7 linked regions of the Mus musculus genome follow. The protein of the gene in region 1 binds, or shares a complex with, the protein of each later gene. Links are inferred from orthologs where the notes say so. Each region holds a gene or a part of one and is shown in the gene's direction. Other genes may lie near its edges. The genes, in order: Prpf4, Lsm3, Sart1, Txnl4a, Lsm7, Lsm2 and Lsm4.

Region 1 (3,500 bases):
TCAATGTTTCCACAGATGACTCAGAGGTCAAGGCTTGCCTTCGAGCCTTGGGAGAGCCTATCACGCTTTTTGGAGAGGGCCCTGCTGAACGAAGAGAAAGGTGTCCTTTATAAACGTTACATTTGTTATTTGTCGCTGGAGGTACAAGGTTACTGTGGTTACTGTGGTTATTGTGGTTATTGAGGGTTGTGAAGTTGGTGCTGACTCCCATCAGGCCCTTGCCTACTCTGCTGGGAAGTTGCTTGCTGGATATGCTAGGTGATTGTTTTGTTTTCATTATATAAATCCATAATATGTCTGTGTGGAAGCGTGTACAGGTGAGTTAGGATACCCTGGGAGTCCAAAAGAGGGTATTACCTATGGACCTGGAGTTGCAGGCAATATTGAACTACCGGATATGGTTGCTGGGAACTGAACTTGGGTCCTCTGAAAGAGCAAAAAGTAATCTTTTTTTGGTTTGGTTTGATTTGGTTTTTCGAGACAGGGTTTCTCTGTGTAGCTCTGGCTGTCCTGGAACTCACTTTGTAGACCAGGCTGGCCTCGAACTCAGAAATCTGCCTGCCTCTGCCTCCCGAGTGCAGCGAGTAAAGGCGTGCACCACCACGCCTGGCGCAAAAAGTAATCTTTAACCTCTGAACCTGGTACACAAATATTTCATTTTTTGTTTCTCTCTTAGCTTTTAGAGTCATGTGATTTTGTTTGAGCATAAATGCCCCTTGTTCACAGAAGCCTTGCTCCATTACTTCTGCCAGTGCCTTTTTAAGTGTTTCTTATTTGTATGTGTGTGTGTGTGTGTGTGTAGACATATATGTGCTTTCATACGGATGTGGGGGTCATAGAACAACTTGTGAGAGTTGGTTCTCTTTCACCATGTGTCCCAGGGATCTATCTCAAGTCAGCAGGCCCCTTGCCTCCCAGCCGCCCTGCCAGCCTGACTCAGTGTTCTGCCTACCAAGTCCATTGTGCTTTATTATTATGTCCCATAGGTGAATGCCTTGAATCCCAGCTGCCACTACCTTAGCTCGGGGCCACCATTGTGACTTGATTGCTTTAACAGTAAAGGCGAGTTTTCTATACTGTTCTTCCTCTTCTGCCTGCTGCCCTATCATTCTCATTGCAGACCCTTCCTTGGGTAGCGTAAAGGCTCCGGTGACCAGGCCCCACTTGACTTCCCAGCTTTGGCCATCACCAGCCCTTCCCCTTTGTTCCATATTCCAACTCTACTGAAGCGCTTGCAGGCCTAAGCTCACCCTGCGTCCCTGACTGTAGGCCTTTAGAGTTCTTTAACCCTCTGTCTCAACTTCTGTTTTTGACTCTGGGCTGAATGAGTGTTTGACAACACCCTATCTGTAAAGCCTTCCCTGATATCTATCCCACACCTGCTCCCAAGCCTTGGCTCTGTACTTTTTCCATATTCCCTTCACATTATGTTCACCGCTCTCTGGTATTGGTATAATGTACTGCTTTCTGTAGTGTCATCAGAATTATCCTTTAGTTTGATTTTGTTGTTGCTCTTTTAAAAAAAGGATTTATTTATTTATTATTATATCTAAGTACACTGTAGCTGTCTTCAGATGCACCAGAAGAGGGTGTCAGATCTTATTACTGATGGTTGTGAGCCACCATGTGGTCGCTGGGATTTGAACTCAGGATCTTTGGAAGAGCCGTCAGTGCTCTTACCCACTGAGCCATCTCTCTAGCCCTGTTGTTGCTCTTTTGAGACAGGGTCTCTCAATATAGCCTTGGCTGGCCTGGAGCCTACCAACGCACCTCACTTGTAATTCTTATTTTATTGAAATGGGGTCTTAGTGTGCAGCCCTTAGTGGCCTGGAACTCACTTGTACTCAAGGCTGGTCTTGAACTCAGAGAACTCCACCTGCCTCTGCCTCCAAGTTCTGGGATTAAAAGTGTGTGTCATCAAGCCTAGTTCCTTTGGACTATTCTTAATCATTAAATATCCTTAGCCCTTGAATCGGTGCCCTGTGCACCATGGCATTCAGTGGGTTCCAGCTATACGTGGCAGCAGTTGACTCTAAATGGAATAGAGTAATTGCTGATGGCTGGTATTAAGGAGGCTTCAGGTAAAGACTGTGGAAAGGCTTGACGTGCCCACTGGAGTCTTAGGGAGACCGGAGGAGTCTGAGAGGCGAAGAGCAAAGGTGCACAGCGTTTCTCCTATGTTTGGCTTTCCTGTTTCTCCCACCATAGTCACCTGAGGTCCAAAATTACTGACTGGGAAAATGCCAGAAGTAAACACTTTATAAATGTTCATTTACACACCATCAAGCTCTGTCCCTCCATCGGCTGTTTCCTTGCTACCTTCCTATTAGTGTGCACTAGAATAAGATAGAAAGAAAGAAAAACAGATCTCGTTCACCTAATTATAAAAATCTGTTTTGGTTTTTCGTTACTAACCTTTTACCTTGCTAATTTATGAGTTAAACAGTATAAGAATGTATGAGCCGGGCAGTAGTGGTGCACGCCTTTAATCCCAGCACTTGGGAGGCAGAGGCAGGCGGATTTCTGAGTTCGAGGCCAGCCTGGTCTACAGAGTGAGTTCCAGGGCAGCCAGGGCTACACAAAGAAACCCTGTCACGTGGGGGGGAGAATGTATGAGTAGGGAAACAAACACAGTGTGGCTAAGGTTCATTGTTCCCTGTGGTTGTAAGCTTTTAGGGATCTCGACATATCTCTTCCACAAGTGGTGATGGGGCCCTACTGGACCTCATCCATATTGATTTCTGACCTTTTTTGTTACAGGTTAAGAAATATTCTCTCAGTGGTCGGGACTGATGCCTTAAAAAAGACGAAAAAAGATGATGAAAAGTCTAAGAAGTCAAAGGAGGAGGTAAACTGGGAAAGTTCAAGGGCATTCTTTCCAGTGCTTTCTTTGCTAAAGTGAAGAGAGGTGTCTACAGGCTCTCTCTGCCATATGGGACTGATTGATGGCAATAATTGATCATTTTCATGGATTGGGGATGGTGCTGGAAGTGCTCCATTCAGGAAGGAGCTATGCACTCTTGGTGTGACTCAGCAAGAAACCAGAAACTATAAGAAGTCATAGAAAAAAGACAAGGAGTCTGGAGAGATTGCTCTACCCTTAAGAATGCACACTGCTCTTCAGGAAGGCTCAAGTTTGGGTCCCAACACCTGAGTCTAGGAATGCCCAATCCTGAGCAATCGAATGCTGTCCTCCATGGCATTCATTCATATGCATGTACCCCACAGTCACACAACACAGTTAAGTAAAAAGTAACTAACAGAAGGACGAGTGCCTGCTTTGTTCTGTTACTGCACCAGACACCTTCTTTGTGAGGAGAACAGAGGGGAACAACTGTTGGGAGAGCAGGCATTTTCCAGACCTAACGTTTCTTCTGTTATTTCCTTCTCAGTATCAGCAAACCTGGTACCATGAAGGGCCAAATAGCCTGAAGGTGGCCAGATTGTGGATTGCTAATTATTCACTCCCCAGGTAAGCAGAGGTCCAGAAGAAAGAATTC
Region 2 (4,020 bases), on another chromosome or scaffold:
CAGCCTCTAAATCCTGTAGGAAACCAGCTAAGTGAGGAAGATGCTATACTTGCAGAGCGCAAGTCTGAGGGGGTTTTAGATAAGAAGACAGAGGCATGAGGTTTTGTTGTTCTACATCCGTTTGGCTGCTAGATGATGACCTGAGGCAGACAGATGAGAGGAAGCCAGAAAAGAAGCAACGTGAAGTTCACTTACTCAATTGTGGACAGGATCTCCAGCTATAAAATTAAAGAGAATTAGGTACAGATTTCATTGGTTCCGAAGCTGACTGGACTTGCTGCCGAACTGGCAGTTAAGAAAAGGTGTGATTTATTGAAATGGAACAACTGGAGGATGGATTTGTTTAAGAGGGAAGATGGAAGTTTTGCTTTGTTCAAGATCTAGGTAAGAAGCGCATTCTAGCCAGGGCGCAGTGGCAGACACGGGTTAATCCTAGCTCTAGGGAGGCAGAGACAGGTGGATCTCTTGAGTTTGAGGCCAACCCGGTCTACAAAGTAAGATCCAGAACAGCCAGGGCTACACAGAGAAACCTTGTCCGGAAAAACAAAGCAACAACAACAAAGCACATCCTAAACTCTGGAGTTACACTGGATGGCAGTCGGGAATTTGGAGAGAGATCTCGCACGCACTAGAGTCTCCCTCCGTCTTGGTTTTGGGGTCTCCTTGAGACACCTGGTAACTGCGAAGCTTTCTGCTGCTCAGCCTTCAACACTTGCTTAGAGGCTGAACTTGGCTCTAATGGTTAACAGAGGGGTTTAAGGCTGATAGCAGAGGCCCTCGGGGACGCCGCGCACCCGGCCGTGGAGACCTTGCCACAGGCGCAGATCCGCTCCGCCGCCCGCACCAGCCTCAGCCACCACTGCCTGGCATGTTGCAGACTCGGCCTCTCACCCGCAACGCTCTCCTCGTGCCGGGCTACTTTGTTGTCCTCGGTTTTCTGGCCCCGCTTCCGCCGCCTTCCGTCTGCGGTGCGCTTTGGGGCCATGCTAGCCAGAGGCGTTCCTCGGGACTACCGCGCAGGACGCCGCAGGTCTCCGCGTGCCCGCCCCGCCCGGAGGCGGGCCACGCCTGGCCGCGCCCCCAGCCCAGGGTAGGACCACGCCCTCGAAGGAAGCCCCGCCCCCATGCAAACTACGAGGGCGCGAAGGGACAAAAATAATATAGTTCGCCTTCAGTGCGTGGCGGCCTAAGGTTTCTGAGTTCCTGTTCCCGCGAGAGGTGGAAAGGGCGCAGCGTTTGAAACATGGCGGACGACGTAGATCAGGTAAGTTTGACCTGAGGCGTTCGAAGAGGAAATGCTTTCGCTTCTCGCTTTTTCCACGCTTCCCGTGGGATGGCCCTTTTCTTTTTTTCCGAGTCACCACGGCCTTCCGTAGCCGGGCCTGCTCCTGAAACCTCCGTAGGCCCAGAGTTTCTCAACCCGCCCGTCTACCCATCGCGCTCGTCGTCGCCCTTTCTCTGTAGAATGAATGCAGGCGGCTGGAGATGCCCATCTCTGGGAGCTAGCTGTCGGGATTCCGACAGAAAGCGGGAGGTCGTAGCAGGACACCAGTTTAGCAATCCGAGTGAACACGGGGGGCACAGGCAGTGGTTCCCTTGGAGTGAATTACGAGGGGAGGTCAGAGGAAAGGTGCAGTTCTAGGAGATGGAGAAACTGCTAGAGATGGAGTATGAAGAAAACAAGCAAAGATCTGGTACACAGGCCAACAGAAGGGCCTACGGGCCTCTGCACCTACCCTTCCCTATTTCTTAGGTAGCTGGTGTACCTTGGCCACCAAAATGTCTTTCACACCCTCACATGCACACACAGCCCCTGCACACACACACACACACACACACACACACACACACACACACGTACGTACGTGCTACCCTACTGTGTTTCTCTCCAGAGCATGTTGTTTTAAATATGTATAGCCCCTGCACACACACACACACACACACACACACACACGTATGTACGTACGTACGTGCTACCCTACTGTGTTTCTCTCCAGAGCATGTTGTTTTAAATATGTATTTATTTAAAGTGTTTCTTCCACAACTAGAGTGTAAGTTCCTTAATGGGGATTTATTGGGGCTGGAGAGGTGGCTTGGCAGATAAGAGCGCTTGCTGATCTTGGAGACAACCCTGGTTGTGTACTAGCACCCACATGCTGCTCTCTCAGCTGACCAGTGATTGAAACACCACCCGGCCTCTGTATCCTATGAGTAAGCCTTTGCCTTTCCTCAGCAACAGACCACCAATACCGTAGAGGAGCCCCTGGATCTGATCAGGCTCAGCCTGGATGAGCGAATTTATGTGAAAATGAGAAATGACCGAGAGCTTCGAGGCAGACTACACGTAAGTCTGTTAAAACATCTCAGAGCCAGAGGCTGCATCCTACCTCCTTACAAATTAGAACTGCAGTGTAAACTTACTTTTTTGAATTTCTTTTGGGAATTGGAAAATCCTTCTATTCACTTTTAAAATATGTTTTCCTTAACCAGAATGGTTTTTTAGAGAGGGGTGGGACTCCGGTGAGACAGAACAAGGCATCTGATCCCCTGGAGCTAGAGTTACAGACTGTTGTGAGCTGCCTGATACGCTCAGGTCCTGTTCAGGAATCCAGTGCTCTTAGCTTGAGCATCTCTCCAACCATAGAGAACACTTTCGTTTCCTTCAGTTTTGTCTTCTGCTTATTTATGAATAAACTTGTTTGTTCTCTTGGGTTTAGACAAGGTCATACTAGAAAACCTGGCTAGCTTCAAACTCCAGCTCCCTCTGCCTCTCTCCTGAGAGCTGGGATTACAGACATGCTCTTCATTCTTGGCATTGTCCTGGATTTTTTAAAGTTATTGGATAGGGTATTTTAGCTTTTGACATATAAAGCTCTGTTTTGTCATGAAAAGAATTAAATAGCAGGCTAGAGATAGTTTGCCTAGCATGCGGCAAAGCCCCTACCCTAGCACTACCCAAAAAAAAAAAAACAAAAACAAAAACAACTTCATAGAAATGGGTAAAATTAAAGGCGAAGTTCCATTTTTCTCTATGTCTGACCACTGTTCAAAGTTGGCTGCATAGTCGTCTGCATGTGTATATGCCACCTGTGTCTGAAGGGGAGCCTAGTGAGGAACGGAGGCATGTGCCATGGTTCCAGTACTTAGAGGACCAAGGCAGGACGATCATATATTTGAGGCCAGTCTGGCCTACATAGTGAAACCTTGTCTCATATGTACACACTTTTTTCACATGTTTTTTGTGTGGAATAATTACACAGCTGACACAACGCCACAGGATACAGGATTCTGTGTCAGACTTCAGTCTCCCCCCCCCCCCCCAGCTATAAAGCTGCAATGGGTACTTTCACAGATATTGCTTGTGCACATTTATATGTCTGAGGAATTGGTCCCATCATTGTGTACTTAAGGTTTTGTCTCCTCTTGTTACTTCCCTCAGGGCTGTTTGTTTACAACAGGAATTGAAATAAGTCTTTTAGTTCAGGCTTAGAAATTAGAAACAACCCTCTACTGACAGTGACAGAGCCACTGTAGGGGACCAGGCCATCCCACTTCAGTCTCAGTCTTAGAAATTCATGTTCTTTCATGAAACCCAAGGATAAAGAATTGATCTACAAGCTGGCCTTGTGGGAACAGCAGTGTCAGTTTGGTGAGAAATGTGGGATGATGCTAAATTGCATGGCACTCTGGTGCACGGAATGATCCCCAGGCCAGACTGTGGCCTCTAACTTGGAGTTGTCTGCAGCTCTTACCTCTGCAGTAACGGCCCAGCTTTCTGTTTCCTCCCTGCTCTCCAGATGAGTTGCTCATTTGTGTAGCTGCCAAGCAGTTCCTTCCCAGTGTGGCTGTTAGGCTATTTTTAATCTTGATATGAGCAGGCAAAAGCGCTTAGCACTTTGTTAGAAGAACATGCAGTGGGTTCTGAACAAGCCCCAGGAGGTTTGCTGTTTAGTAAAAGGAATGAACTTTGGAGATTGCACTGAACACTGCGGTTGAAATCCTTCCTGATTGAGCCCACAG
Region 3 (3,500 bases), on another chromosome or scaffold:
GAGCAGGAAGAGCTCATGGTACGTCAGCAGTTCCCTGGCTGTTGTCCTTAGGCTGCTGACTTCTGCTTCTAGTGCTTGAATGTAGCAGGTAGGGTTGAGGCTGCCCACCCTGACACTGACTTGTGGTCCTAGGACTTTGAAAGGGATGAGGAGCGCTCGGCCAACGGTGGCTCTGAATCAGATGGGGAAGAGAACATTGGCTGGAGCACCGTCAACCTGGATGAGGAGAAGCAGCATCAGGATGTGAGCACCGGTGGGCGTGGGTGTGGGGACCCAGGCTAGTTGTCCAGTGCCTGAAAGCCTCCACCCATCCATAGAAGGGGCACTAACCCTTCCAGAGCCAGCTGGGGGTCAGTTAAAACTGGTCCCACAGCCTAGTGCCTGGTGAGGATGACCGCTGGATAGAAGAGATGGGGCAGCCTGCTCACACTTCTCTTTTCTCACCTCTAGTTCTCTGCTTCCTCTACCACCATCCTGGATGAGGAGCCCATCGTGAACAGAGGGCTGGCTGCTGCCCTGCTCCTGTGTCAGAACAAAGGTGTGGGCTCAGGGTGGGAGCCTTGGCAGTGTGGGTACTATAGCCGGGACGGGCTGGATGGTTGCCTGTGAGTACTGTATGGTGTCCTGGGTTTCCACTCCTCTTCCCCTCAGTCTCGGGGCTTCAAGCAGCTCCCTAGACGCGGAGCCTCTCACTGCCTCTCCTGCTGCGGGGTGAGAGGTCTGCTTCTCTTCCGTGCCTCAGAAGTGGGCTAAACCGGATACACTGGGGCCAGATCCCAGCTGTGCTGCCTCCTTAGGGAAGTGCTGATCTTTGATGTCCGTAAAGATGCGGCATGTTTAACTCCTGAGCAGGGCTCTGAGGGACCTGTATGAAGCTGGGTGTCAAAACTTCTCTGTCCCTAGGACTGCTGGAGACCACAGTACAAAAGGTGGCCCGGGTGAAGGCTCCCAATAAGTCACTGCCCTCAGCAGTGTACTGCATCGAGGATAAGATGTAAGTGTGGCCGTGGCGACATGAAATAGGAGCAGCTGTGAACATGGGGTAGGCAGCAGGCAGCTCACCCTGAGCCCCTCTGCCTTGGTCTAGGGCCATTGATGACAAGTACAGCCGACGGGAGGAGTACAGGGGCTTCACCCAGGACTTCAAGGAGAAAGATGGCTACAAGCCTGATGTTAAGATTGAATACGTGGATGAGACGGGCAGGAAACTGACTCCCAAGGAGGTGAGCAGGGTCTTGTGGAGATGGTCAGACCACAGGTGACGAGGTGAATTCTGCCTCCGTTGCTGACTTTGGGCGTAGTACTGAAGTTCCCACAGGCTGGCTGTCAGGAAGGTTACACCTGTGCTGACTGCCACAGCTGAAGCCCTGTGCCCTGAGTATGCCTACCAGCATCCCCTGCTGCTTCCCATCTCTGTATGCTGGTTCCATGTTTGCTGGCATTAACTCCAGCTCCCAGAGGCAGGCTCACCCTGGACCCTGGATTCTTTTTTGGTTTTTCGAGACAGGGTTTCTCTGTATAGCCCTGGCTGTCCTGGAACTCACTCTGTAGACCAGGCTGGCCTCGAACTCAGAAATCCACCCGCCTCTGCCTCCCGAGTGCTGGGATTAAAGGCGTGCGCCCACATCCCGGCTGCCTGGCCTTTCTGATGCCTCTGCTCCTGCTCTGTATCCCAGGCATTCCGGCAGCTGTCCCACCGCTTCCACGGAAAGGGCTCAGGCAAGATGAAGACTGAGCGGCGGATGAAGAAGCTGGATGAGGAGGCGGTGGGTCTTGGGAGGGAGGTGGGGGCTCTGCATTTTTGGGTGATGTGTGATATGCTGGGCCTGCTCCCCCTGTTCTGACCTCCTGTGGCCCCACAGCTCCTGAAGAAAATGAGCTCCAGTGACACGCCCCTGGGCACCGTGGCACTGCTCCAGGAGAAGCAGAAGGCCCAGAAGACACCGTATATCGTGCTCAGTGGCAGTGGCAAGAGCATGAATGCGTGAGTAGGAGCCGGAGGGGTGGGGAGGCACTGCATCCCCTTTCCAGTCTCACAGCCTCATCGCCCACCCTCTTCTCCCTGCAGGAACACCATCACCAAATGAAGCCGCCCTCCTCCCTGGCCCAGATGTAGTGTTAAATAAAGTTCCCTCCTTATTTTTCCTCTTGGTTGTGCTGCTGTCTAAGGTTAGACCTAGGCAAGGCCTCTGTCACGGTCAGTTCTGCCATCTGGCAAGTCGCTGAGCCTCCTCGCCCTTCTGTGTTGCCTTCCGAGTGGTCAGAACACCTGCTTCATGCGTGAGGCGCCGGTGAGCTCTTTCGTTCACTCTCTGGTTATCCAGGAGCGGATGGGCCTGATCCTTGAACCTGTGTGATTTAAAGTCTGATCTCTGCCTGTAAGACTGGCCATTTAATGAACAGAGGAGGTGAGAAACCAGCCTGGTCCCTCAGAGGACATTCCTCTGTGAGCTGACTCCATTGTAACAGAAGCCCTCCACCCAGTGGCGTGTACCTGTCACACTGCGGTCAAATTGGCTTCTTGATCCCAAATCATTGCTGTTTTCAGACTGGTCACATGCGTGTTGCTAGGCCTTAGAGAGCCACTAACCACCCTGTGTTGTCCTGGTTACAGTTTTCAGGGTACTAAGTAAGGATTGCCTAGGCTCTCTGGAAGGGTAGAGATGTTACCTCCTGTCCCCTGTGTTACTGTGGCATTTGTGGAGGCATGAGGGTCATCCCAGGACTGGGGTAGGGGTTACCTCGAGTGCACTTATATACGAGGACTGAGCCACCCTGCTAGGTGCCTGCAACTGTGCCTGGAAAGATGGGCTTTCTAGGAAGGCGCTGTGGAAGAAGCCCTGCTGAGCCACAGGCTGTGGGAGGACCCTGCCCCACAGGTGGCTACTTTGAATCAGAAGATGAGTGCCCTGTGTCAGTTACTGAAGCTAGCCCCATGTGGGTCTCTGGTGAGTGTATCAAATAACTAGAAAAAAGCAAGAGACAGGAAACCCAGTTGTTTATAAGTGATACTAGGTAGCAGTTCCTGAGACACTGACCATAAAAGAGGTGAGGTCAGTTGGTGTTCTCGGCTGTGCCTGTGGATCTTGGCTAGTGATGGTTGTGCAGGAGTGTCCATTTCTCTAAGTCTCAGGTGCTTGATTATGGTGTCTACTGGCTATGGCCATTGGTCAGAGGTCACTTTTTTTGTTTCCTTTTTTGAGACAGGGTTTCTCTGTGTAGCCCTGGCTGTCATGGAACTCTGTAGAACAGTCTGGCCTTGAACTCAAGGATCCACCTGCTTCTGCCTCTTGGGTGCTGGTATTAGAGGTGTGTGCCACCACCACCTAACTAAAAGCTCACACTTATTTTCAGGAAATTGGGTTGGTGCTGTTGCTGCCACACCTTAGGGAGAGCAGGGCCTAGGGGCTACCAAGTAGCAGGAGACTTGATGCCAAGGGCAGACAGGAACCCAGGTTCGCTGTCAGCGGGTGGAGAAGGTTAGCGACTTAGGTTTGTAT
Region 4 (3,500 bases), on another chromosome or scaffold:
TGAGCCAATGTTCCCAGTCCAGAAGCCTCCTAGAGGTTGGGAGGGCCTCTCACCCTTGGGAGACACACCCACCTTATCTCCTCTGAGTGCTCTGGCCTGTGATCTTTCAAGGCATCTCATTATCTGGAGAAGCTGGGAATTTAATCTTCTCACTAACGGTCTTGTGCCCAGTCACCTCTGCTCCTTTTACTGGGAGTGAGAAAGCAGGCAGCACTTCCTTGTTTGGAAATCTCGTCTGCTAATAAACAGGCTCATCACTAACAAGTTCTGCTGCTCATACAGCTTAGGACACAGTGGCTCCCAGTGCGCAACGCAAGTTCCCTCTCCTCTTTGTGAGAAACAAGGCCTCACTTCACATGCGACAGAGGGGCCATCTTTACAGTGATGGGCGTGGAAGGAGTTTCAGGGAGCAATGTTGGTATGTGGATAGGGGACATAGCTGGTGTCTTTGAGGTCGTTAGGACACTATCTAATTAGGACCAGTGTGTGCACTGAGCACCTACAAGGTTTTACTCTTAGGACTGGGCCAGAGTAAGAGAAGCCAGGCTTTACAAAAACCTTTGCAGAGTACAACTGACTGAAGCCTGTCTGAATCGCACAGGGCTCCCAGGTATATAAAGGACTAGTTATGCCCAGTGTGCTCACAGAGAGTAAGCCATGGAGGTCAGCAGGGCTGCTGTGCATGTGTGTGGGTGGGAGGAGATGTGGGTGTCCACCCCGTTCCTGGGCTGAGGACATGGAATGCTACCCTGGGAGAGAGTGTTTGACACAGAAGTTATGTCAAACCGACCTTCTCACTGTGCTCAGAACCCGTGGAGCATGCTCATCCACGTGGACCATCGTGGAAGCCAGTGTGTGATCCGTAGGAGTGAAAAGTTAGACTGATAACAAGTAGATCTTTAGGAACCTGGAAAAATTCATGCAAGTGCAGCAGGGGTTAACATCTTTATTCAGAAAGTGCAAATGCAGGTTCCTAAGTGGGGAAAAGGCCTATCCTCTAAAGGACAAGTGACAAGGACAAGTGGCTTGTTTGCTTCTCAGTCACAGCATGCCAGGGTGGGCAGAGCCATCGTTCTCAACTCATGGTTCAAAGCCTTTGGTAAAGCTGTACCAGGTCTGTGTGAACAAAGCGTAAGAGGTTGCCCATTGCTCGTTCAGGAAGATGAGAGCACCTCAGGAAAACTGCATGTCTTTCCAAACGATCCAGCTGTCCTTGGTCTTCACAGTCCTAGACATAAATGCACAATTGCAGGGTGCAGCGGTGCATGCTCTCAGTCCAGCACTCAGGAGGCAGTGGCAGTGCGGTCTCTGAGTTTGAGGCCAGACCTAGCTATATAGTGAATTCCAGCTATATAGTGAATTCCAGGACAATCAGAGCTATGTAGAGAGAGAGACCTTCTCTGTCTCCTGTCTCTCTCTCTCTCTCTCTCTCTCACTCACACACACACACACACACACACACACACACACACGAATGCAAAGAAAATATAGAAGAATGCAAGAAGAGTGTGTGGCTGCTGTGTTTCATTTCTAGAAAATGATATTTAGTGTTTGTCTTTATTTTGTGTTTGTTTGTTTTGTTTTTTGAGACAGGGTTTCTCTGTGTAGCCCTGGCTGTCCTGGAACTCACTCTGTAGACCAGGCTGGCCTCAAACTCAGAAATCTGCCTGTCTCTGCCTCCCAAGTGCTGAGATTAAAGGTGTGTGCCACCACTGCCCGACTTTATTTTGTTTTGAACTGTGGTCTCTTTGGATGGCAGTGCCCTTAAATGACATTCTAGGTGCTTAGAACAGAGAGAGAACAGGCATGGTGGGGGCTCTCTGTGTGAGCATTGCTCCTCTTTTCTCTTTCAGAAACAAACATATCATGATTGATTTGGGCACTGGCAACAACAACAAGATCAACTGGGCCATGGAAGACAAGCAAGAAATGGTTGACATCATAGAGACCGTGTACCGTGGCGCCCGCAAAGGCCGGGGTCTGGTGGTGTCTCCCAAGGACTATTCTACCAAGTACAGATACTGAGCCCTGCCCTCAGGCTGTGCAAAGGACACTGAGAGCCTCTTCCACATAGAAATACTCTGCTCTCGTAGCCTCTGGAAAGGCCCTGCAGCCCGACATTGCTGTAGAGCTGGAGGATCCGTGAGATGAGGGCTACAGAGCCTTAGCTAGCTGGAGCAAATAAACATGGCGAGGGAGCAGTGGGGATCTGCTGTGCTTACTGCGTGCAAATGTCTTTACTCCCAGTGTTTGTCCCAGGAGGCTGTCTGGTTTTGCATCTTCGAGCGGTTGCCAGAGCTGTCAAGCAAACTACCCCAGACATTTTAGCTGGACAGTTCTCGAGGTGTGAGCCTGAGGCGGCTGGGTTCTGGATTCCATTTGAGGCTGTGGGCCATCTGCAGCAGCCCCTTGGTTCTGGAGGTTGTTGGCCATCCTTGGTAAACCTTGGATTGGGCACACGTTATCCCAGTCTTTGCCGTTTTCCTTACAAGTCATGTGTATCATGTGTATGTCAATCTCAAAACATACCCTACTTACAAACACCAGTTACCTTGCCTGGGGCCACCTCACCTCTGTACAGCCTCATCTTAACCGATTACGTATGATAGTCACTCCAAATGAGGTCATGGTCTGAGATTCTGGGCTTAAACCATCAACATATTAATTTGGGGTGACATAACCCATAAGAATACCCAGTCTTAATCTCTCTCAGCATATAAAACAGCACTGTGATCCAGGTAGGATTCACTCCTGCTGCTGGCTGAGGCCAGGCAGCCGAGCTCAAAACACAACTACGAAAAAGCAATTGCCTGGCGGCGCTTCCCTTCCTCCACTCTTCCTCACAGCATGTCTGTGTCCTGCTTCCTAAGGAAGCAGGGTCCTCATTCCACCCAGCACAAGTCCCCTTATCTACGTCAGCTTCCTCTTGTTTCTTCTCTTCCTGGCAATGTGGAGGGACCCGGGTCTACCCTCTCATCTCTAAACACAAACTCAGAAGAGAAAGATGAGCATACCAGGAGCCGACTCTGGACGAGCGCCTCAGTACCCCTGCCCCATGCATCTCCATCGTACGCAGTGGCGAACACTCACTGGACGCCTGGTGGGTGGACAGTACCTTCTGTTGTTCACACACTGACCCATTAGGAAAGCTCAGGAGTGAAGCAGATGTCTGACCTACAAATAAACGCACTCGTCAGATGAACCAAAACATGAGTCCTGGCTTGGGGTGCCGCTTGGTGATAGAGGTAGTATTCAGTTCCTAGCTTGCAAAAAGTCAGATTCACATGCAGAGCTGCAATGTAACGCCTAGCACTAATTTGCTCATTAAAAGAATAGTAGAAGCCGGACGTGGTGGCGCATGCCTTTAATCCCAGCACTCGGGAGGCAGAGGCAGGCGGATTTCTGAGTTCGAGGCCAGCCTGGTCTACAAAGTGAGTTCCAGGACAGCCAGGGCTACACAGAGATACCCTGTCTCGAAAAACCAAAAAAGAAAAAAAAAG
Region 5 (3,959 bases), on another chromosome or scaffold:
GCCAATCAAGGAGGCACATGCCAGCCAGTTGTGGCAGCACCGGGGAGGCTGAGGCAGAGCTGCAAGCCCACCGCCAGCCTGGGCCATACAGGGAGACCCTGTCACAAAAGTCTGTAATCTCAAAAAGGAAAAGAAAAAGTATTTTTAAAAATGACCTGGGCTCTTGTTTCACAAGACAAGAGCGTACACAGTAGCAGGACGCACTGGCCACCCTTCAAACCGGCCCAAGACCCAAGGATGCAACACTCCAGGATCTGGGACTGAAGGCTGGAGCCACAAAGACAAAACAAGAAAGGACTCTACTAAGCCAGGAGTTGCGATGCGGCGCGTGAGATAACTAGGCCGGTGTTTTGCTTTGAGTTCCAGGTTAGCCAAGCCTCACCGGGTGCACAGGGACAGCCAGGGCAACATGGGAAGTCAGAGCCCAGCCTGGACTGCAGAGCGAGCTGGAGGCCAGCCTGAGCTGCGGAGCAAGTTGGAGGGCAGCCTGGACTGCAGAGTGAGTGTGAAGCCAACATGGGTTACATAGTGAGTTCAAGGCTAGCCTGGACTACGCCGAGTTCGAGACCAGCATGCCACCTCTCTCAGAAAGCAAAGCACACCAGAAGCCAGCCTCCTGCCAGGGCGCACCCCGCGCACACCTGAGGCGTCCCAGCAGAAGCTCGTCCCCAGCGTTCTGCACCGACCCTGAGGTGGGGACCCCCTTCCGCCCAAGGTCACAGAACAGAAGCCGGGGTGCCGGGCTGCATGCACCTCGGGGGCCGCGCTGGACGCCCCGGGGATGGAGCGCGGGAACTCGCCCCATTCTGCAAAAGGGGAAACTGAGGCTGGCAGGAACAGCGGCGGCGGCGGTTGGGGCCCCGGGGCGCAGGGCGGGCTAAGCCCCGCCAGAAGTCTGCGGTGGCAATGAGCGAGTGGACCGCAAGGTCAAGGGCACGGTCAGGAGTTGGGGGGCCGGGCCGATCGGCCGTGGCGCTCACCTGGGCCGCGAGTAGCAGCAAAGCTGCGGCCAGCCGCGCCGCGGCCATGTCCGCCGGTCCCCCCGCAGCTCTAGGCGGAAGGTTTCCTGGCAACGCCTTCGGGACGCCGCAACGTGCTTGCGCCGAGGCTGCGCGTGCGCAAAGGCCTCCGCGTTAGAAAAGGGCGGGGCGGCGCCTGCGCAGAGCGACGTGAGGCGACAAGATGGCGGTGAGCATGTCTAGATCGTGGAAAGCAGGGCCGCGGGATCGAGGGTCTGTGGAAGCGAGAGCAGAAAGACTGAAAGGAGAGTGACGGACGCCCTAGAGTAGGGAGACAGGGTGCTGAAGGATGGGAGCCACGTGGGACTGCAGACGGAAGCCATGGGTACAGACCAGGTGACATGAAAAACAGACGACCGACATGAGGATGCAGACGCGGAACGTGGGGGTTGCAGACCAGGCAGACAGGGGTGCGTACAGGAAACAGTGCAGATGGGGTATCCAGGGATGCAGATGAGGACGTGGGCATGCAGACAGAAATGCAGACTCGGGCATAGCATTCAATTAGGCAGACACTGGAGGTGAGGATGCACCCAGGGTTCTGGGAGCCTGAGTTGGAAAGGAGTCCCTGGGTGCCATGCCCAGGCTACAGGGATATGGGGAGGCTGGACCTCTCTCCTCAGCGCCCCACCTCCCAGCAGGACAAAGAGAAAAAGAAGAAAGAAAGCATCTTGGACCTCTCCAAGTACATCGATAAGACCATTCGGGTGAAGTTCCAGGGTGGCCGGGAAGGTGAGTGCCTACCGCAGGGCTCCCTGACACAGAGCTTGGCTGAGGTCACAGCAAGCAAGGGAAGCCACCTAGTACAGGCGTTCCAATAATGGCTTGGGCTATTGTGTACCATTGAAAGGTATGCCCCTATTGTGGGTGGGGAAACAGAGCCCCAGGAAAGGAGTCAAGTGAGATTAGCACCCAGACCAGTATGGATGGATCCTGAAGGAAGGGGCCAGGACCCACGAGGAGGTGGAAGGAGGTGATAGGAAGCCCTGTTCTTAAGCACCTGGACACAGCAGGAACCTGGAAGGTTTCCCAATGAAAGGATTGAAAGTTCCAGGCCAGTTTAAGTTATGTAGCAAGATCTGTCTCCAAGAATCAACCATGGGTGGGGCTGTATGTCTGTGGGTAGATTGCTGGTTTAGCATGCATAAAGCCCTGAGTTCTATTCCCAACCCCGTGTAAACCTGGCGTGGTTGTATAAGCCTGGCATTCCAACACTAGGGGTAAGACAGGAGGATCAGGCTGCCTAGTGAGTCTGAGACCAGCTTGGGCACATGAGACCCTGGGGGGGGGGGGGGAGACTGTTTCAGATTGCATGGATGGGTGACAATAAAGTTTTATGGACACTATATAGCACCTTCCATACTGGAAAGAAGAGGGTTGGAGTCACAGTGACTAGGCCACCACACTTACTTACTCATGAGTTCTGTGGTGGCAACTGTTCCTGAGCTGCCATACCAGGTTCTATATGTGTTACGGGGTGGACTGACATTCTTCTCCATGTCTCGCCCGTGTTCCTCAAGCCAGCGGTATCCTGAAGGGCTTTGACCCACTGCTCAACCTGGTGCTGGATGGGACCATGGAGTACATGAGAGGTGAGCCGGCCGAGGTTGTTGTAGGACGGTGCTGGGGACCTGTGGGGTCAGATTACAGCAGGTGGTGACTTAGGGTGCAGTGTTGGAACACCAGAGGACTGGTGTGCTTGCCGGGAGGGCCTCAGGCTTGAGACTTCCAGCTCACTCTCCTCAGGTAGCTGGCTTTATCCTCAGCCCTCAGGACAGCAGGAATGGTGGCCGCTGTCCTCGGCCAGGAATGTCTACCTGCATCAGAGACTCCAAGGCTCACTGGATCTCAGCTCTGTATAAGCAGGTCCACCCTGTAGTGCCCTGAGCAGACCCCTGCCCCCCACACCAGGTTTCCTGTCTCCAGCCCTCGTGACAGTTATGTCTGACTGCTTACCAGCTCCTCCTGTTGCCCACCCTCTCCAGTGCATCTGCTGCTCAGTAGATGCCCTTGGTGTTTACGGGGTCAGCATGGGCTCTAGCGTTCTTGAAGTTGGAGATGTCTGGCTCCTCCCTCAGCCACCTTCGTGGTTCTGTGGTTTAGACTCTGCTGGTCAGGTGTTTTGAGAGCATCTGGATCTGTCAGTCCCCAGAAGCTGTGAGTGAGAACTCTCAGGCCCCTGAGGTCCCGGCTGTGGCATGCCTATGGATAGATATGCACCTCAGTCCTCTTGCCTCTCATCCTACCAGACCCTGATGACCAGTACAAGCTGACGGAGGACACTCGGCAGCTGGGGCTTGTCGTATGTCGTGGCACCTCGGTGGTGCTCATCTGCCCACAGGACGGCATGGAGGCCATCCCCAACCCCTTCGTGCAGCAGCAGGACACTTAGCAGCAAAGGAGAGCGGTCCAGCCCCAGGGATCTTCCTTCTATGGGGTGAACTTCTGTGTGATGTTTTGGTCTTTTGTTCTTGTTTTGTTTTGTTTTGTTTTTTAATAAAATTGCCCATGTGAGCATCTCCCTCCCTTCCTGCTCTGTAACTTTGATCTTTGGAGAAGCCAGAGCCATGGAGACACCTTGATCAGACACCGTGGTCCAGGGCAGAGCACAGCACAGCCAGGGACTAGCACAGGGATGGGAGAAACCTGGACGCCTGGTCCCGCAGCCCAGCCGGCTTCACCTGGTGGGCTGTGGCAAGAAGACCACACCTAGAAACACCAGAACCTGGTCTTCCTCCATATGGCATCCCCTTAGCACTGGCCCCTGCCTGTTCTCTCTGCCCAGGGGAACCAGGAGGGCCTGAGAAAAGGATTGGCTAGCAGGGAGCCTGGGCCCTGAGGTTCCTCAGGCTGGGGTGCCTCCCTAAAGCGTCTGCCACAAGAGAAGCAGCCCAGGCAGGGGCTGGGGCGGGGCCAGGGCGGGACTCTGTGCTCCTGTGG
Region 6 (4,055 bases), on another chromosome or scaffold:
TTTATCCAGACATGATATCCACAGAAGATACAACCTAGCAACTTCCCACTTAATGTAATTATTTAAAAAAAAAAAAACAATAGGGCTGGAGAGATGGCTCAGCAGTTAAGAGCACTGACTGCTCTTCCAGAGGTCCTAAGTTCAATTTCCAGCAAGCACAGAGTGGCTCACAATCATCTGTAGTGGGATCTGATGCCCTCTTCTGGATGTCTGAAGAAAGCCACAGCATACTTACATAAAACAAGTCAATCGAAATAACAACAAAGCCCTTTCATCTCAGACCATCTCTTTCTTCTCTGGAACTTGCCTACTGAGGCTTTTCTAGTTTTTTGTTTTTTTTTTAAATCAGTCAGCTCTTGTGAACTCCTTCACAACCAGCATGTTACAAGCCTGGTAATGCTGTTCCCAGAACATCCAAAGTAGTATCTGTCGGTGATCTAGTTGAAAATATTTCAGTAATGCAGGGATGGATCAGCAGTTACAAGCATCTGTTGCTCTTCCAGAACACCCAGATTTGATTGCCAGCACCCACAAGGAGGCTCACCATTGTAACTCCAGGCCCAGGGCATTTGAAGCCCTCTCTTCTACCAGGAACTCATGTAGTACAGACATAACATACAGGCAAAAACTGTCAAACACACACAAAAAAAGCTAAGATAAAGTAAAATATTTCTGTCACTGAGTTCCAGTCAGTTTAGTCCTTTACAGACGAGTCCTATGCCAAATTATATATATATATATAACATTAGAGCTGGGATGTTGTTCATTTGCTTTGCTTAGAATGTGTCCGCTCTGGGTCAACTTTGCACCCCAAAAGACTGAAATTGAGAGAAACTTACTTACTGGGAACCTTTGATAAGAATCAGGATTTGTGTTCCGGTTTCTCTCTCACACTCACACACACCATAACCAGTGTGTATTGGTGTATATTTTATTCTCTGACACAGGGTCTTGCTATAATAGCTTTAGTTGACCTCTAAACCAGAATCCTCCCGTCTCAACTCCAGGATTCCAGTTGGGCACGAACGCTGTCCAGCTCTTAGCAACATTTTAAATTTTACTAAAGAATACGCAAGTCATAATTTTCTCAATCTTCCCAATAATTCCCCATAGAAAACGTAGACTACGAGCTAATCACGCGGCAGAGAGAAAAGTCTCAACAACCATCAGAAAAAGAGACGAACTACGTCCAACGCGCAGCTGCCACGGCCCACGCATGCGCTTGTGAGAAAGCGGCTGCTCGGGAGGAAGTGGGGGGGACAGGAAGTTCCGCCCCTCTACCGGTTTGGCGGTCCTCTCGGCTCTGCCCTACCCCGCTCCCTTTGAGCCTGAATTCAGCCGAGGTTTTCGCGGCTCCCCGTGCGCCTGCGTGATCCAGTCTTGCTTCACGCGCGGGCTCGCGCTCCGGCTCCCGCCCTGCCTCCGGCTCGCAGTCCCCGGCGCCTTCCTTCGCGGTCCAGGCCGCCCCGCGTGGCGCCAGCACCATGGTGGGTACCGTGACGTCAAAAGGGAGCGCCGCCGCTCGCGGCGGGCGGTTCGAACCGTGCGGGCGTGGGTGCGGGCACTCGTGTCGGTCGCTTGGGGCGGCAGCCAGGCCCCAGGGTTTTCCGTACAGCCTTACTGCCCACACCCCAGTGTGAGGAGGCTGCTCGGAGCCGATGGTGTTTTGGGGGAAACCTTTAGCAAGTCCAAGAGAAAGCCCACGGGCGCCGGGGGAGAACGGGAAGCGAGCCTTGCACTTCTGTGCTGTTGACGAGGACTTTGTGAGGGTGCGGTTGGGAAGCGGTCTCAGCTGGGAGGTGGTCGACTCAGAGAGTGGGTTCTAGCGTCGAGGGGTGCAACGCAGGTCCTGTCACTCCGTGGCTCCGTGAACTGCAGAGTCCCGTTTAACGGATTGTTGTTGGTTATGAAGTTTTGAGAACTACTAGGAGGGGCTACAAAGACTAGTATTTCAAAATACTGTCACGGGCTCCTCCTCCCCGTCCCTTTTCATGTGATAGTTCCTCCCTCTTTTCCAATAGCTCTTCTACTCCTTTTTCAAGTCTCTTGTGGGCAAGGATGTAGTCGTGGAACTCAAGAATGACCTGAGGTAGGTCCTTATTTTAGCGAGTTGGTGGAAGGTGGGGGTGCCGGGTGTCCTGATCCTTTTTGTCGTTGTTGTTGACAAAGTTACTTCAGAGTAGGTAGGCAAAACACAGAAGAAATACCTTTCGTCTTAAGTGTAAAAGATTAGTTTAAGAGTGAGCCTGGTATTGTGACACATGCTTGTAATCCCAACACTGAACGCAGAGGTGTGAGTTCAAGGACAGCTTGGTCTACATATGTCCAGGGCCATCCGGAGTTACACAGTGAGATACAGTTAAGTAACATGTATGTGTAGTCCTGGCTGTCCTGGAACACACAGATCCACATGCCTCTGTCTCCTGAGTGCTAGGATTTGCCTGGCTGTATCATTTGCTCTTAACGATTCAGGAGTTGGGGTAAATGCTTAAATGCTGTACCACTGGAAATATGTTTATGGGTTCTTGTCACATCCGTTAAGGTCTACTTGGTTCCTAATAGTGCTTCGAAAATTATAGTTTCATTGAAGCCGGGTTTTGTTTGCTTTTGTTTTCTTTCATGTACTGGGCATGCTCAACAAGTGAACTTCATATGCAGCCCTCATGTTTCTCTTTAAAATAACTTTTTTTTTTTTTTCCAGACAGGGTTTTTCTGTATAGCCCTGGCTGTCTTGGAACTCACTCTGTAGACCAGGCTGGCCTCGAACTCAGAAATCCGCCTGCCTCTGTCTCCCGAGTGCTGGGATTAAAGGCGTGTGCCACCACCGCCCAGCAAAATAACTTTATTTGTAGACTCTTGAAACCTTTGAACACACATCAGTGGTTGACCAGCAGGATGGTTCTGACCAGTGTGGCCAAGTTAGAAGCTGGCCCAGACTGAGGTGCAGACTAAGACCTTTCATAGTCTAAAAGTCAAATCACACGAATGGTCTACAGAGCTGTGGGGATTCATAGGATGTAGAGAGTGAGGAAGTAAAACTCAGGATCTGAGGTGGTTAAAGTTGGTTACACAGAGGGTAAATATAATATAAGGTGGGGCATGTAAGGTGGTATGGGAGCACTGGCCTTGATAACCTTGCTTAGGGGCTAGAGGGCTGGAGAACTGAGAAGACTTGACTTGTATCTTCATTATTAAAGATAAGTTGGGGGGGATAACATTTGAAATGTAAATAAAGAAAATATCCAATTTTTTAAAAAAGAAGAAGAAGCCGGGTGTGGTGGCGCAGGCCATTAATCCCAGCACTCGGGCTACACAGAGAAACCCTGTCTCGAAAAAAAACAAAAACAAAAAAAAACCAAACAAACAAACAAAAAACTCATACGAGAAAAAAAAGAGTGTAGCAAAAATAATAAAGAGTAATTCCAGCTACCAGTATGTGTACATAGGTCTGTGACTCCAAAGCAGTAAATGTTTACAAATAACAGTTAGGGAAGCTGCAGAGATTGCTCAGTGCTTTAAAAAGAGCTTGCTGGGGGCTGGAGAAATGGCTCAGAGATTTTAAGAGCACTGACTGCTCTTCCGAAGGTCCTGAGTTCAAATCCCAGCAACCACATGGTAGCTCACAACCATCTGTAAAGAGAGCGGACATCAGACGCCCTCTTCTGTAGTGTCTGAAGACAGCTACAGTGTACTTAGATATAATAATAAATAAATCTTTAAAACAAAACAAAACTTGTTGCTCTCCCTGAAAAATAAGAGTTCAGTTTCCAGCAACTACATTAGGTGATTCACACCTACCTAGAACTCTGGCTGCAAGTGATCTGATGCCCTCTTCTGGTCTCTGTGGGTAACTACATGCACATACACACAAATAATAAAAATCAATATTTTAAAAATAATAGTTGATGCTTCTGGGAGTCATGCAGATCTGGGCTGACCTTCAGTTTATTGGTTGTAAGTTTTGTTACCTTCCATGACCTCTCTCATATCCTGGAGGATGATAATACTTTGAAAGATGATTAGCTAAGTGGTGTTGATAGCAGTGCATCCCTTAA
Region 7 (3,022 bases), on another chromosome or scaffold:
GCACATGGACGGGATGTGAAGCAGGCTGGTGTGCAGTCCTGTGCATTTAGAAGGCTGTGGCCAGCCTGGGCTTATGACAAGATTCTGCCTCAGAAAAGCTACCTCCAGACAGAGGACTGTGCCCCGCTTCTGTGGTTCCAGGTGACAGAAATTGTGGAGAAATGACCAAAATGGTCCGGGAGGTCCAGGTGGCTCACATCTGTAGAATGGGATGATGTGAGGTTACCTGTGACCTGAAGACAGGCGAGTGCATTGGGGGTAGCCATGCCCATGTGGTCGTCCCTGAATTGAGGACTACACCTCACACTGACTTTTGCCTTCCAGCTTCCCTTGTCGCTGCTGAAGACAGCGCAGAATCACCCCATGGTAAGCACTCTGGGCCACCTCCCTTCATGTGCCCACAGCTCAGTCTTTTGCAGTTCATGATTGAAGGCCTGGCAAGATGTCTCAGTGGGTAAAGGTGCTTGCTGCCAAGCCGAAGGACCTGAGTTCAATCCCCAGGACCCATGTGATGATGGAGGGGTTCATGACTTCCCTGAAGTTGTTCTCTGCCCTGTCTGCACACAGACAGAATGGCAAATGCAATACAAAGGAAAACGTTCACAAAGAAATCTATAGCCGGGCATGGTGGTGCACGCCTTTAATCCCCGCACTTGGGAGGCAGAGGCAGGCGAATTTCTGAGTTCGAGGCCAGCCTGGTCTACAAAGTGAGTGCCAGGACAGCCAGGGCTACACAGAGAAACCCTGTCTCAAAAAAAAAAAAACCAAAAAAAAAAAAAATCTTTTAAAAGTAATGTCAAGAAGAAGCTGGGCACTGTGCAACTCATGCCCCTGATTCTGCCCTGAGAGTCACAGCATAGACCAGGTCCCCTGTCATCGCAGCTGCCTGGGAGGATGCAGCAGGAGGATTGCCACTGGTTGAAGCTTTTTTTTTTTTTTTTTGAAAAGGAGCAGCAGTGTGGCCGAATAGCCAAGGCATGGCCCAGCAAGCTGCAGGCCTGGGTTCCATCCGAGGTGCCACAGAAGGAGCCATGCCTCTGTGGTGTGTAGTGTGTTTATAGACTCCACACAGCCAGAGCCCAGCCTCTTCTCATTTCCCCTCAGCACCCACCTCGGGTCTACCCCAGCCCTGGTTGCCTGTGCACTGCTCCCACCTGACGTCTGCTCCTTTGCATTTTGTGAGCATTTCTGAGTGTGGCTTGTCTGTCACTCAGTGGTTTTGAGTCATTTTCTTGGCTGTGTTAACACTCCTTCTGTAGGTGACTAGACTGGGCTTGCCCATTGTTTCCTCACTATCCTCCTGCCTCAGCCGCCAGAGTTCTGGAATCACAGGTGTGTGCCACCATGCCCAGCTAGTGTGGAGTTTTAATTTGTCTTTGTCCATACATTGGGTGGGGAACCTGGGCGGTGCCTGCTTATCACAGCACCCACTTATGAGCTGAGCGGCAGCCAGCCCTTAGAGGTTGATCCCAAAGCACACCCAGAAAGCTGTAGTTTGGGATGGGAAGCCAGCTGTGTTTGAGCTAGGCTGATGGGCTCTCCCACAGCTGGTGGAGCTGAAGAATGGGGAGACCTACAACGGGCATCTGGTGAGCTGTGACAACTGGATGAACATCAACCTCCGGGAGGTGATCTGCACGTCGCGGGTGAGTGGTCATGCGGGGAGGGTGCACTGCTGGCCTGGATGGACTATGCCCACCTGTCACACTTCCCCTCTCCACAGGATGGTGACAAGTTCTGGAGGATGCCTGAGTGCTACATCCGTGGCAGCACCATCAAGTACCTGCGCATCCCTGATGAGATCATTGACATGGTGCGGGAGGAGGCCGCCAAGGGCCGAGGGCGAGGAGGACCGCAGCAGCAGAAGCAGCAGAAAGGCCGAGGCATGGGCGGCGCTGGCCGAGGTGGGGTCCCTGTGAGGATGAGGTGGGGGAGGGACACCTGGGCACTCGCCTCTCTGCACCCTCTTCAATCACATGTAGGGCATGGTGGTGTGGGCTCCTGTAGGCTGAGTACAACCTGGAATCTCCCACAGGACCCTTGCGCAGTGGACCAGGGCACAGAGGGGAAGACCCTTGTCCCTGTCTAGGGACGCTGGTGTCTAACTCTGCCTTTTCTGTTCTGTGCAGGTGTGTTTGGTGGCCGGGGCCGGGGTGGCATCCCAGGTGCAGGCCGAGGCCAGCCCGAGAAGAAGCCAGGGCGGCAGGCAGGCAAACAGTGATCACTCCCTGCCTGAGCCGAGCCCAGAACGGTGGGTGAGGCCTCAGGGCACCTTTGTGTGAAGCCCCACTTGGCGTCTGGTCCAGTGAAGTCCCTCGCTGGCCACTGACTCAGTTTCTGGAAGGTTCCGAGTCTGAGGTGCCTGTGGAGCCTTAGATGCCCTTTGAAGGGCTGACTTCTTCCAGGCATGTTTGAGTTTCAGTTGGAGCTGCAGGCTCAGCCCATGGCGGCTCACCTGTCCTTTACCAGCCATACCCTGTACATCTTCTGTTTGAAAAATAAAAGCAAACACCATAGAAAGAGCCAGCTGTTCTTCTGCCTAAGCCCTGAGCATGTTGTCCTCAGGGCACCTGGGTCTTATCAGAGGGAGCAGTTCCCTGGGCATGGGGCTTGTCTGTGTGTCCTGCCAGTGGAGGTGAGAGTAGAGCAGATCCTGCATTTAGAAGGCTAAGAGGTAGAGTCAGGAGTTTTAGGCCAACTGGAGCTACAAAGCACTTAAAAAGCCAGGCCTGTAATGATTGGACTGTGGGAGACTAGGGTAGGAGGCTGTCAGGCTGCTTCTGCAGGCAGAACAGTTCTGATCCCATACAACTCCAGAGTGCACCACAGGGAAAGTGACCCAGGGAGAGCACAGCACGGGACATGTACGTGTGTCTGTCTGTGCCCATGTGTCTGTGTATTTGTCCACGTGTGTATTTACCACATGCATACCTGGTGCATATTGGAAATGAGATGACAGCCATTGGAGTGCTTGGAATGGAGCTCATCCTTGAGTACTCTCCAGGTCCCCTGTGTCTGTTTC

What was found.
Region 2: Prpf4 (region 1) and Lsm3 share a complex: the UniProt entries of both Homo sapiens proteins name them as parts of the precatalytic spliceosome. The link is inferred for Mus musculus from reciprocal best matches to the Homo sapiens genes PRPF4 and LSM3.
Region 3: Prpf4 (region 1) and Sart1 share a complex: the UniProt entries of both Homo sapiens proteins name them as parts of the U4/U6-U5 tri-snRNP complex. The link is inferred for Mus musculus from reciprocal best matches to the Homo sapiens genes PRPF4 and SART1.
Region 4: Prpf4 (region 1) and Txnl4a share a complex: the UniProt entries of both Homo sapiens proteins name them as parts of the precatalytic spliceosome. The link is inferred for Mus musculus from reciprocal best matches to the Homo sapiens genes PRPF4 and TXNL4A.
Region 5: Prpf4 (region 1) and Lsm7 share a complex: the UniProt entries of both Homo sapiens proteins name them as parts of the precatalytic spliceosome. The link is inferred for Mus musculus from reciprocal best matches to the Homo sapiens genes PRPF4 and LSM7.
Region 6: Prpf4 (region 1) and Lsm2 share a complex: the UniProt entries of both Homo sapiens proteins name them as parts of the precatalytic spliceosome. The link is inferred for Mus musculus from reciprocal best matches to the Homo sapiens genes PRPF4 and LSM2.
Region 7: Prpf4 (region 1) and Lsm4 share a complex: the UniProt entries of both Homo sapiens proteins name them as parts of the precatalytic spliceosome. The link is inferred for Mus musculus from reciprocal best matches to the Homo sapiens genes PRPF4 and LSM4.

What each region holds. Positions count from the first base shown.
Region 1 is NC_000070.6:62,411,783-62,415,282, forward strand, and holds part of Prpf4 (U4/U6 small nuclear ribonucleoprotein Prp4), read left to right. Parts: coding exon 1-100; intron 101-567; exon of another isoform or gene 568-1,062; intron 1,063-2,760; coding exon 2,761-2,848; intron 2,849-3,392; coding exon 3,393-3,472; intron 3,473-3,500. UniProt on the Homo sapiens protein: Plays a role in pre-mRNA splicing as component of the U4/U6-U5 tri-snRNP complex that is involved in spliceosome assembly, and as component of the precatalytic spliceosome (spliceosome B complex).
Region 2 is NC_000072.6:91,514,815-91,518,834, forward strand, and holds the start of Lsm3 (U6 snRNA-associated Sm-like protein LSm3), read left to right. Parts: upstream 1-1,220; 5' UTR 1,221-1,243; coding exon 1,244-1,264; intron 1,265-2,233; coding exon 2,234-2,344; intron 2,345-4,020. Other genes in the region: Xpc (DNA repair protein complementing XP-C cells homolog), read right to left, coding at 892-985. UniProt on the Homo sapiens protein: Plays a role in pre-mRNA splicing as component of the U4/U6-U5 tri-snRNP complex that is involved in spliceosome assembly, and as component of the precatalytic spliceosome (spliceosome B complex).
Region 3 is NC_000085.6:5,378,704-5,382,203, reverse strand, and holds part of Sart1 (U4/U6.U5 tri-snRNP-associated protein 1), read left to right. Parts: coding exon 1-18; intron 19-132; coding exon 133-243; intron 244-450; coding exon 451-538; intron 539-903; coding exon 904-994; intron 995-1,087; coding exon 1,088-1,223; intron 1,224-1,676; coding exon 1,677-1,766; intron 1,767-1,862; coding exon 1,863-1,984; intron 1,985-2,068; coding exon 2,069-2,087; 3' UTR 2,088-3,500. UniProt on the Homo sapiens protein: Plays a role in mRNA splicing as a component of the U4/U6-U5 tri-snRNP, one of the building blocks of the spliceosome. May also bind to DNA.
Region 4 is NC_000084.6:80,220,326-80,223,825, forward strand, and holds part of Txnl4a (thioredoxin-like protein 4A), read left to right. Parts: intron 1-1,853; coding exon 1,854-2,025; 3' UTR 2,026-3,500. UniProt on the Homo sapiens protein: Plays a role in pre-mRNA splicing as component of the U5 snRNP and U4/U6-U5 tri-snRNP complexes that are involved in spliceosome assembly, and as component of the precatalytic spliceosome (spliceosome B complex).
Region 5 is NC_000076.6:80,852,410-80,856,368, reverse strand, and holds Lsm7 (U6 snRNA-associated Sm-like protein LSm7), read left to right. Parts: upstream 1-1,159; 5' UTR 1,160-1,182; coding exon 1,183-1,188; intron 1,189-1,212; exon of another isoform or gene 1,213-1,308; coding exon of another isoform or gene 1,309-1,344; intron 1,345-1,657; coding exon of another isoform or gene 1,658-1,660; coding exon 1,661-1,751; intron 1,752-2,539; coding exon 2,540-2,611; intron 2,612-3,268; coding exon 3,269-3,411; 3' UTR 3,412-3,544; downstream 3,545-3,959. Other genes in the region: Sppl2b (signal peptide peptidase-like 2B), read right to left, coding at 981-1,028. UniProt on the Homo sapiens protein: Plays a role in pre-mRNA splicing as component of the U4/U6-U5 tri-snRNP complex that is involved in spliceosome assembly, and as component of the precatalytic spliceosome (spliceosome B complex).
Region 6 is NC_000083.6:34,980,599-34,984,653, forward strand, and holds the start of Lsm2 (U6 snRNA-associated Sm-like protein LSm2), read left to right. Parts: upstream 1-1,255; 5' UTR 1,256-1,484; coding exon 1,485-1,487; intron 1,488-1,531; exon of another isoform or gene 1,532-1,658; coding exon of another isoform or gene 1,659-1,769; intron 1,770-2,021; coding exon 2,022-2,089; intron 2,090-4,055. UniProt on the Homo sapiens protein: Plays a role in pre-mRNA splicing as component of the U4/U6-U5 tri-snRNP complex that is involved in spliceosome assembly, and as component of the precatalytic spliceosome (spliceosome B complex).
Region 7 is NC_000074.6:70,676,231-70,679,252, forward strand, and holds the end of Lsm4 (U6 snRNA-associated Sm-like protein LSm4), read left to right. Parts: intron 1-324; coding exon 325-366; intron 367-1,547; coding exon 1,548-1,646; intron 1,647-1,723; coding exon 1,724-1,904; intron 1,905-2,129; coding exon 2,130-2,221; 3' UTR 2,222-2,522; downstream 2,523-3,022. UniProt on the Homo sapiens protein: Plays a role in pre-mRNA splicing as component of the U4/U6-U5 tri-snRNP complex that is involved in spliceosome assembly, and as component of the precatalytic spliceosome (spliceosome B complex).